Bombyx mori: one gene and its partner. Each later gene encodes a partner of the first gene's protein in a complex. Links are inferred from orthologs where the notes say so. Each region holds a gene or a part of one and is shown on either strand. Other genes may lie near its edges. The genes, in order: FRSB and FRSA.

What was found.
Region 2: the proteins of FRSB (region 1) and FRSA are in contact, whole or in part, in a crystal structure (PDB 3L4G), measured with the Homo sapiens proteins. The link is inferred for Bombyx mori from reciprocal best matches to the Homo sapiens genes FARSB and FARSA. Residues at the interface, in NP_005678.3 of Homo sapiens: Glu26, Phe29, Gly32, Leu33, Pro68, Ala69, Asn70, Ile150, Arg152, Asp259, Thr261, Lys262, Arg305, Lys316, Lys317, Val318, Gly319, Ile359, His360, Cys362, Asp363, Glu366, Ala369, Ile370, Tyr374, Asn375, Ile377, Gln378, Met379, Thr380; in NP_004452.1 of Homo sapiens: Ser221, Gly222, His223, Leu224, His225, Leu227, Leu228, Arg231, Ser232, Arg235, Leu239, Gly242, Phe243, Thr244, Glu245, Pro247, Asp249, Asn250, Phe251, Ile252, Glu253, Ser254, Phe263, Gln266, Gln267, Phe277, Phe278, Leu279, Arg280, Asp281.

The regions. Positions count from the first base shown.
Region 1 is NC_085112.1:3,834,124-3,838,910, reverse strand, and holds the start of FRSB (phenylalanyl-tRNA synthetase beta subunit), read left to right. Parts: upstream 1-1,702; 5' UTR 1,703-1,776; coding exon 1,777-1,834; intron 1,835-1,907; coding exon 1,908-1,963; intron 1,964-2,144; coding exon 2,145-2,299; intron 2,300-3,463; coding exon 3,464-3,620; intron 3,621-4,787.
Region 2 is NC_085112.1:15,644,997-15,648,963, reverse strand, and holds the start of FRSA (phenylalanyl-tRNA synthetase alpha subunit), read left to right. Parts: upstream 1-1,167; 5' UTR 1,168-1,410; coding exon 1,411-1,683; intron 1,684-2,029; coding exon 2,030-2,384; intron 2,385-3,016; coding exon 3,017-3,294; intron 3,295-3,967.

The DNA of each region.
Region 1 (4,787 bases):
TCAACGACTGCTACCTAGCAATCCAGATGAGTTCTGTTTTATTTGAGACTACTAAGTCATTGAGTGACAGGTTGGTGAGGTTTTAATTTAAGCAGCTCCGACATGCCATGTGCACCAGCCCCAACACATTGGTGAAAGTAAGGGGATTGAGTGTTGATACTATTTCTGTAATTAAAAAATACATATACAACACTAGATGAGAGGTAGGGAGTGGCATGGCTGTATCTCTTGCATTACTAAAGTTAATGAGTGATGGTAACCACTCAGCACATCAGGTGTACTGCCCGTTTGTTTATAGAGGTAATAAAAAAATCTAAAGATTTTTTTTTCCTGCGTGGAGTTTTAATTTGTTGTCGAACTGGAAAGAAATTACACGTTCAGCTCCCCGAATATTTTTCCCTTATACCTTTTTCATATGTGTGTTTTTATGTATTACGTAGGTGTTGTACTGGAGAAGTAATTTCTATTGTTAATCTAATACATAAAACATTTTTCATTTTTTGCTGTCAAATTTTGTGGGAAAATATAAAAAAGGGGAAAATCAACGAAACCATCTGGCAGTAAAAATCATTAGTAGGGATGGAAATTTTTGCAACACAAAACGATCTTTGTATCAATTCGAATCAATGGTTTAATAATAATAGATTCACAAAAAAATTCGCAAAAATCAGTTTTTAGTGCTATTTCTGTGTTTTCTACCCAGCAAAACAAAAAATAAACGCATTTTCATTAATCATAATTATACAATACATTTAATAAAAACTTTGTCTTGAGAACTGAAGTCATGTTTTATCCCGTTTGTGAATAATTAGATGAAAATTTGATCTTTTAAAGATTAAGTGTTAATTGTTTTGTAGTTGTATATGAGTTGGCTCACTAATTTTCATGGCCTAAATAAAAACTGACAAGTATTTAATTATATATACCAATATCCAATATGGACTTATCCAATAAAATGTTCATTCAACTCTCTATTCTAAAATACCAGTTCTTATGATTATATCAGTACCTCATGAATATAACATAACTTAAATAGAATTTTCTGATAAAATGCTTTTCATAATGATGCTTTTCTTTTTATTATCGAGTAACTTATTTTAAATCAATTTTGTCAGTAGATACTATCCAGCATCCCTGCCGTGAACTGTCACCCTTATTTTCTGTGATTTGTGGTGCTTTTTTGTATTAACTGACTATTTGGCGGGAATGCGAGGAATGAAGTTGTGTCATTTGTCTACTTAGTGTTTTTTCAGGTTTAGAGATGTAATAAAATAACGGTGGCTTATTAACTCTTTAATATCTGTGAAAGTGCACAAATGTGAAAAAATAAAAGAAAACACTAGACGTAACTTCTAGGGATCCTCCAAAAAGTCAACTGAAAAAGTCTCAGTAAATGACCACCATTTTCCTGAGATTATATTTCATCGCATATCATTTTATTTAATTTCATCCCAGTTGATTAATGTCTAAAGTTAATCTTCTTCATTTCATTTCATTTCACTCCATATTATTATTTTAAATTAACACAATAGGAATATTTATAAATTAAAATAAGATATGGTATAAAGGTCCTAGTTACCAGGTCAGAAAAACCCTTAAATAGAATTTGTATTATCTATGGTTTTAGAACAGACATGGCTGTATGGGCTTAGATTTCCTTGCCTTTCCTGATAAGGAAAATTGTACCAAAAAAAAAACCGATAGTTTTGGAAGAGCGCAGCACTGACATATTTCACATATGGTCTACTCACTCGTTTTTAAATAATTTTATCAAGAATGCCCACAATTTCTTTAAAGCGCGATGCGCTTTTCGCCGCACTCGGTTCTACATACAGTATGAGAATATTTTGTAAAAAAATTAGTTTAATTTTAATTCAAATTAAAATGCTTTTATCGAAACATTTCAGCTGATGAAGAATTTCAAGACCTATGTTTCAAATTTGGTTTAGAGCTTGATGAAGTTGTGAGTACCCATTTTAGGACCCACTAAATTAAAAAAAACGAAATAATGATCTGAAACCTAGTTTTATTGTAATAATTAAAATAATGATTTACCTTGAAAAATATATGTAAATGTATTATCTTGAATTCAGAGCTTGAAGAAAGGATTTGTGGCGATATTAATGTGTGTCTACCAATTTCAGACTACGGAGAAACAAATGTTAATTAAAGAACAAGGTGACCAAGCAGATGCTGAATTATCTGATGAGATCCTCTACAGAATAGACATCCCAGCCAATAGATATGACTTATTGTGCCTCGAAGGACTTGTTGATGGTCTATTAGTGTTCCAGGGGAAGTAAGTTAATGGATATTTTTTTCTATTTTATTTATTTATTGTGTATGGGTGAACAAGTCTACCTGGTGTACAGAAGTCACCAGAGCCCAGTTATTACATTGTTAATATTACCACCCAACTTATGACATAAATTTGAAATCATATAAAAGTGGTTGTAACCCGCAAAGCAGAATGCATGAATACTTTGTAACAAAAATAGGCAGGATAGTAATACCTACTTGTAATATCCTCTACCACCAATGAATGCTATTGCAGTTTTCTTTTTTTACTGCCCTTGTCGGTAGATGAGCATACGGCCCACCTGATGGTGAGTGGTTAACATCACTCATGGACATTAGCGTTGCCTACTGTCTAATACTCTCTACAAGCCTTGAAGAAGAGCTTGGTAAACACCGTGGAGGGGAACTCATTCCGAAGCTGGATGGTACGTTGCAAAAAATATCTCTGGAAACACTGTGGATGAACGCTGGCTCCACATAATATGGATGAACTCTACGCCGGTGGCGAGCAGTGCAATGGTATTGTTTGAAATGATGGTATCATCTCAATTCAATCCTTAATTCTTCAGAGCTCTCCCCATGAAACATACGGTACAAAATACAGATGGAACCAACGTCCCTCGACAGACCCCGAGGTTCCAAACAATCCGTGAGAATGGGATTATCAATAATCCGAATGGCTCTCTTCTTTATGTAGTCTAATGAAAGGATTCCATGACGTGGTAGCAGTACTCCATGCGAGGCCGAACCTGAGCTTTGTAAAGCAAAATTCTTTATCCAGGTGTGAAATACCGGTTTGCTCTGTTGAGATCTCCCAGAACTGTACTTGAATTTTGATACTAAGAAAAGCTGCTGCCCATTCTCTAGTGAAAACTTTTATTACCTCTTTTGCCCGCTACTGAGGACACCCTTCAAACTTCTCTTGAATAAGACTTGTTAAAGATTTCAAGAAAGACTGGAAGAAATACTGTACAATAATACTGTGACTGTTCATTCTAGAGCAGGATGTTAAGTGGTAAAAATAATGACTTAAAGTACACTCAACTAACTCAATGTTTCAAAGTAGATACACATTTTGCTTTAGCAGCATTGCTACTATGAACAATTGTAAGCAGCAGGTGCGACGGTAAAAGTAAATGATGAGATCATTATAAATAAATTTCAGGAAACCTCCACCTCAGTACAAAGTGAAAAAATATGAAGACTGTAACTCTTTACACCTAACGATGGCCACAGCACAAATAAGACCCTATGCTGTAGCAGCTGTACTTAGAGGCATTACTTTTACAAAGGAATCTTATGATAGTTTCATTGATCTACAGGTAATAAATTGATATATCAAGCATAAAAAGCATTTGAATTGATGTACTGATAGCAGTGTATTATTGCGAGCCTGCACAGGTATCAGTGGAGTAAGTATAAAAATAAGAATAGAATTCGAACAGCAGACAAGACTACAGACCAGCAGACAAGACTACAGACAATCTAAATGGTATGAAGTGAACACGATAAACACAACTACTGCAGTTTTTAAATTAACCTTAAATTTATTATATTTTATTACTTTGACAAAGACATAATTGTAAAAAAACCTTTCACAATGTGTAGGTCTATGAGGAATTGCCTATAGTAGAATTATTTTGTCTGTGCAGTTTGGGTCATAAAACATAGCCCGGCTAGGGTGGTGAGCATGTTGCGCAGGCGTCTATAAAAACAAATAAGTCATCGAAGGCTTAGGTACACGGCGACGGGCGGGGTGGTATACGAAGGGTGGTGAGACATTGCTATGTTATGAGTCATTTGTATTTACCTGCAAATTATAGTACATTATGTCGAAGAGAAATGTGTTTTTATGCATTCGTTCTCTGATTTTCTTTAGTGAGTTCTTTAGTTTGTTTTGTATCAAAATGGCAAAATTTATTCAAAATAATTATTTGCACGTGTTTTTTATCAACAATGTGTTAAAATTTCTCTGTGAAATAAGAATAGATCCCAAAAAGTTACAAAGTGTTAATTTCCGCCGTACTCGTTAACTTACTGCGGCGATATGTGCTGTAAGTGTTCGATTAGTGGTTTTTTCTTTCATTTTTATCACTAACCCACAAAATGACAAAACTAAATACACTATCGATAACGCTTATCAACAACCATAATGCGCATCATTATGCCCGTCCATAAGACTCGTGAGTAGAAGAGAGAGCGAAATACTCGCTTCACCGCTCGATCACCGATTTTTATGACCCAAACTGTACAGACAAAATAATTCTACTATAGCATTCTATACATGGTAGTCTTGAATCAGTTTTTTTTAAATAAATTAATTTTAATATATGTTTTTTATTATAACTGTAAGCTAGGCTGATGGTGCGGAGTTATTATTGTTGATGAAAGTCTGCAAACTCCATTTTATTCACTAACACTGTAATCAGATGCCTGCAGCTCTAACAGTAGGAGCAAGAGTAGGGACCTAGGTAACTGTACTTGTCAAA
Region 2 (3,967 bases), about 12 Mb from region 1:
TAGAACAGTTTCCAGAAATTCTAACGTCATATTTACTAGAAGATCCTTCTCGTTCGCTTAACGTCAGGCAAATGATATACATGCTTGCGTGCGACGCTATTCAATACAATAAAAAAGTTCAAAAAATACCACGTGATGGCTCTTATAATATGAAAAATACATTGCAAAATTATAGTTTTCACGATTGTTTTTTCAAATTTAGTATATGACATAGATTAAGTACAATTTACAAGACAAATGGTATTAAATATTATAATGAGAAAAAATATCTCACATTTTAAAAATATATGCTCACACTAGTAAAAATTTATCAATGAATTTGTAATATGGAAGAATATTCCACAAACTGGAGAGGATTCTCGCTTAAAACCACTTACATTAAAAGTGTTCACCATGATTACAAGGAAACTTTCACGATTTTCGAAAAAAAACAAGCCACAAGCTGTATCAGTGCCATTTTAACTTCGTACTACAAACGTAAATAGACGCCATTTTTCTTTTAATCCATTCATTGCTCTTTTTCGGTGATGCCAACAATTAATCTGGCTTCCCACCAAATTCAATATGAAAACCATCAGAAATCTACGTACCTACCATTAAATTTTCCATTAAACAGAGTTCTTATTAATATAGAACAATATTTTTTTGTTAATAAGCTTTATTAATATATGATGTTCTATTAATCTAATCAATATTTCTTATATAATTTATTTTAATAAATTTCACCATAACTTTGTACGTTTATTTTGAACCAATTTAATTTTTGACGTTGATGGAAATTCTAAATTCTCGCAACATTTTCTAGTTAAGTTTAAGTCACATCGTTTAAATAATATGTATTTAGATATATTATTGTCATAAAATGTTTAAAATCCTGTAAAGTGGATTGATTTTAACCTTTTCGATAATTTTCAACAACGCCCAAGCTACTAAAAAATCCACTAACCACTAAAAGCCATTTTTGATAACTAAGACGGGGGTCCAAATTCCGAGATTTTATGGAAAATCCTCTAAGCTAGCAACACTGCTTTTTGCTTGTAAAATGTGCGAGAGGGACACCACCACTTAATAATCATTCTCTTTTCAGACCGTTTTTCCTTACATCTTTTGCTATTTAAAAATAAACTTTAAGCCATAGAGATAAAGTATATTTTTAGTTTTTATGTCAAACGAAGTAAGCACTCCAGTTAGAATAGTAACTCTATGGATAGCTAATACAAAATTTTAGTGAGAATGAAGAAGACTCGATGCTTTTTGTGATTTTGACGTTGTTTTGACGTTGTTTTGACGTTTCGTTACTCGTTGCTGCCATATAGGTTGCTGCTGATAGAAATGGAACAGTGAAAGCTGGAGCTCAGTTTTGAGATTTTATAACCTAAAAAGCTAAAATATTCGGGCGAAGAACTCAAAATGGAATTGAACGAAAGAATTTTAAAGTATCTAGAAAACAGCGACAAAGCTGACACTTTAAAATTATGTGAAGAATTCAACGAAGAACATCAAAAAATAGTTGGTGCTGTAAAAAGTTTGGAAGCTCTTGAAATGGTTATTTCGGAAGCTGTTAAGATTACAAAATGGGAGTTAACTGAAGAAGGAGAACTCGTTGCTAATAATGGTAGCCACGAAGCCGTATTATACAGAAGTATACCAGACAGTGGTGTACCGCAATCTGAAGCTATGAAGGTAAACGTTTTGAACTTGAACATTATCTTAGATTACATCTAGAATAATGAATAGAACACAAAAAAATAGGATTTTTCTTTAAACTTAAAAAAATATATAAATTGGTCATAACATAGATACAATGTAAACAAGTAATATGATATTATTAGATTATTAAGAAATTAAAATATTATGTATAATGTTATATTGATCCTTGTGCATTAATTATTTTTTGAAATATGAAATGCGTACAAATTTTTTTTTCTTCTCTTGTTTCTCTTAACAACTACATAAATAAAAATAAATAATAAAACTTGTAAAACGTGTAAAAGTAGTTGCTGAAGTTACCTGAAAGTTTACCTTCTAGATGGTACCAAATGCAAAGGTGGGATTCAGTAAAGCCATGTCATCTGGATGGATATACATAGATAAATCAAGTGGACCGCCCCTCGTCAAACGTAAAGTTGATTCAATTACAGACATTGTACAGGAGAACCTTAGTGAAATTAGAAAAGGTATAGATAATTTATCAGAAAATGTAAGAAATGACTATAAAAAAAGGAAACTTCTACAAGAGGTGACCATTAAAAGCTTCTTGCTGTCGAAGGGCCCCCAATTTGCGATAACAATAAAGAAATTGGAAACAGATTTAACAAGTGACATGTTGTTGAGTGGCTCGTGGAAGACTCTAGAATTCAAACCATATAATTTTGATGCTTTAGGTAAGTTTTTTCTAAGAACTTTTTCAGGTAAACAATAAGAATAAAAATGCAATTTGAGAAGTATCTAAGACCCAAGAAGTTCTCAATTACTGCATCGGTACTTGTACTTGTAAATGTTGACTATATTTTGTGTCATCTCATAAAGATGTAATTTTTTTAAATTATTAAAATTAATCAATCAGAAAAACATTGAAATCTATTTAGTCATAAGAAAGATGTAATTACTGTAATTTCATACTATCAAAGCATACACTACTTGTAATGTTAGTATCAATGTTAAAGCTTGTCTATCAATATGTTGACAACTTCCTTACTGGATGGAGCAGAATATTTCTTGTCACTCAGACTCTTTTTTTTGTCTCATGATCAGAATCACAACCCACTTGGAGATCCAGAACCTTAGTGGGTTACGTTACTATCAAATGGTGACTAAGTGCCTAAAAGCAAGCAAGCGATGAGAGTAGATAAAGAGGGCACTCTGTCCCAAAATTCAAATAATTGCTCCAAAATGTATTGAATTTAATTAATTGTTAAAATCTTAGTTAATACCACATTGCCTACAATCCAATTGTGAGTTGAAATCGTTCTGAGTAGTGATCCATAATAAATCATTAAATTATATAATTTCACAGGCCAACCACCAGAATGTGGTCACCTCCATCCCCTCTTGAAAGTAAGGTCGGAATTCCGTGAGATATTCTTGGAAATGGGTTTCACGGAGATGCCGACAAATAAATACGTTGAGAGTTCATTCTGGAACTTTGACGCACTGTTCCAACCTCAACAGCACCCAGCCAGGGATGCTCACGACACATTCTTCATGTCCTCGCCTGCTGCCACCACGGAGTTCCCCATGGAATACCTGGAGAGGGTGAAGAAGGTGCACAGTAAAGGTGGATATGGCTCCCAGGTTTGTTAATTACTGAATTTAATATTAGCAGTTGAATTTTTTTTTTTTTTTATTGCTTAGATGGGTATACGAGCTCACAGCCCACCTGGTGTTAAGTGGTTACTGGAGCCCATAGACATCCACAACGTAAATGCGCCACCCACCTTGAGATATAAGTTCTAAGGTCTCAGTATAGTTACAACGGCTGCCCCGCCCTTCAGACCGAAACGCATTACTGCTTCACGGCAGAAATAGGCAGGGCGGTGGTACCTACACGTGCGGACTCACAAGAGGTCCTACCACCAGTAATTACGCAAATTATAATTTTGCGGGTTTCATTTTTATTACACGATGCTATTCCTTCACTGTGGAAGTCAATCGTGAACATTTGTTGAGTACGTATTTCATTAGAAAAATTGGTACCCGCCTGAGATTCGAACATCGGTGTATCGCTCAACACGAATGCACCGGACGTCTTATCCGTTAGGCCACGACGACTTCCAAGAATCCAATGAAATTAAAATGCTTAGATATTAATGTCTATCATAATCTAGAATGGTCTTAGTAACCTCTGCACCTGCAGGCACTTGGTGTTAAGTAATTACCGGACTCACATACATCACCCCTTACGTGCTGCCTTACACATTTACACTCCAGGTTTTAATTATCAATTGTTTAGTAATTATATATATTT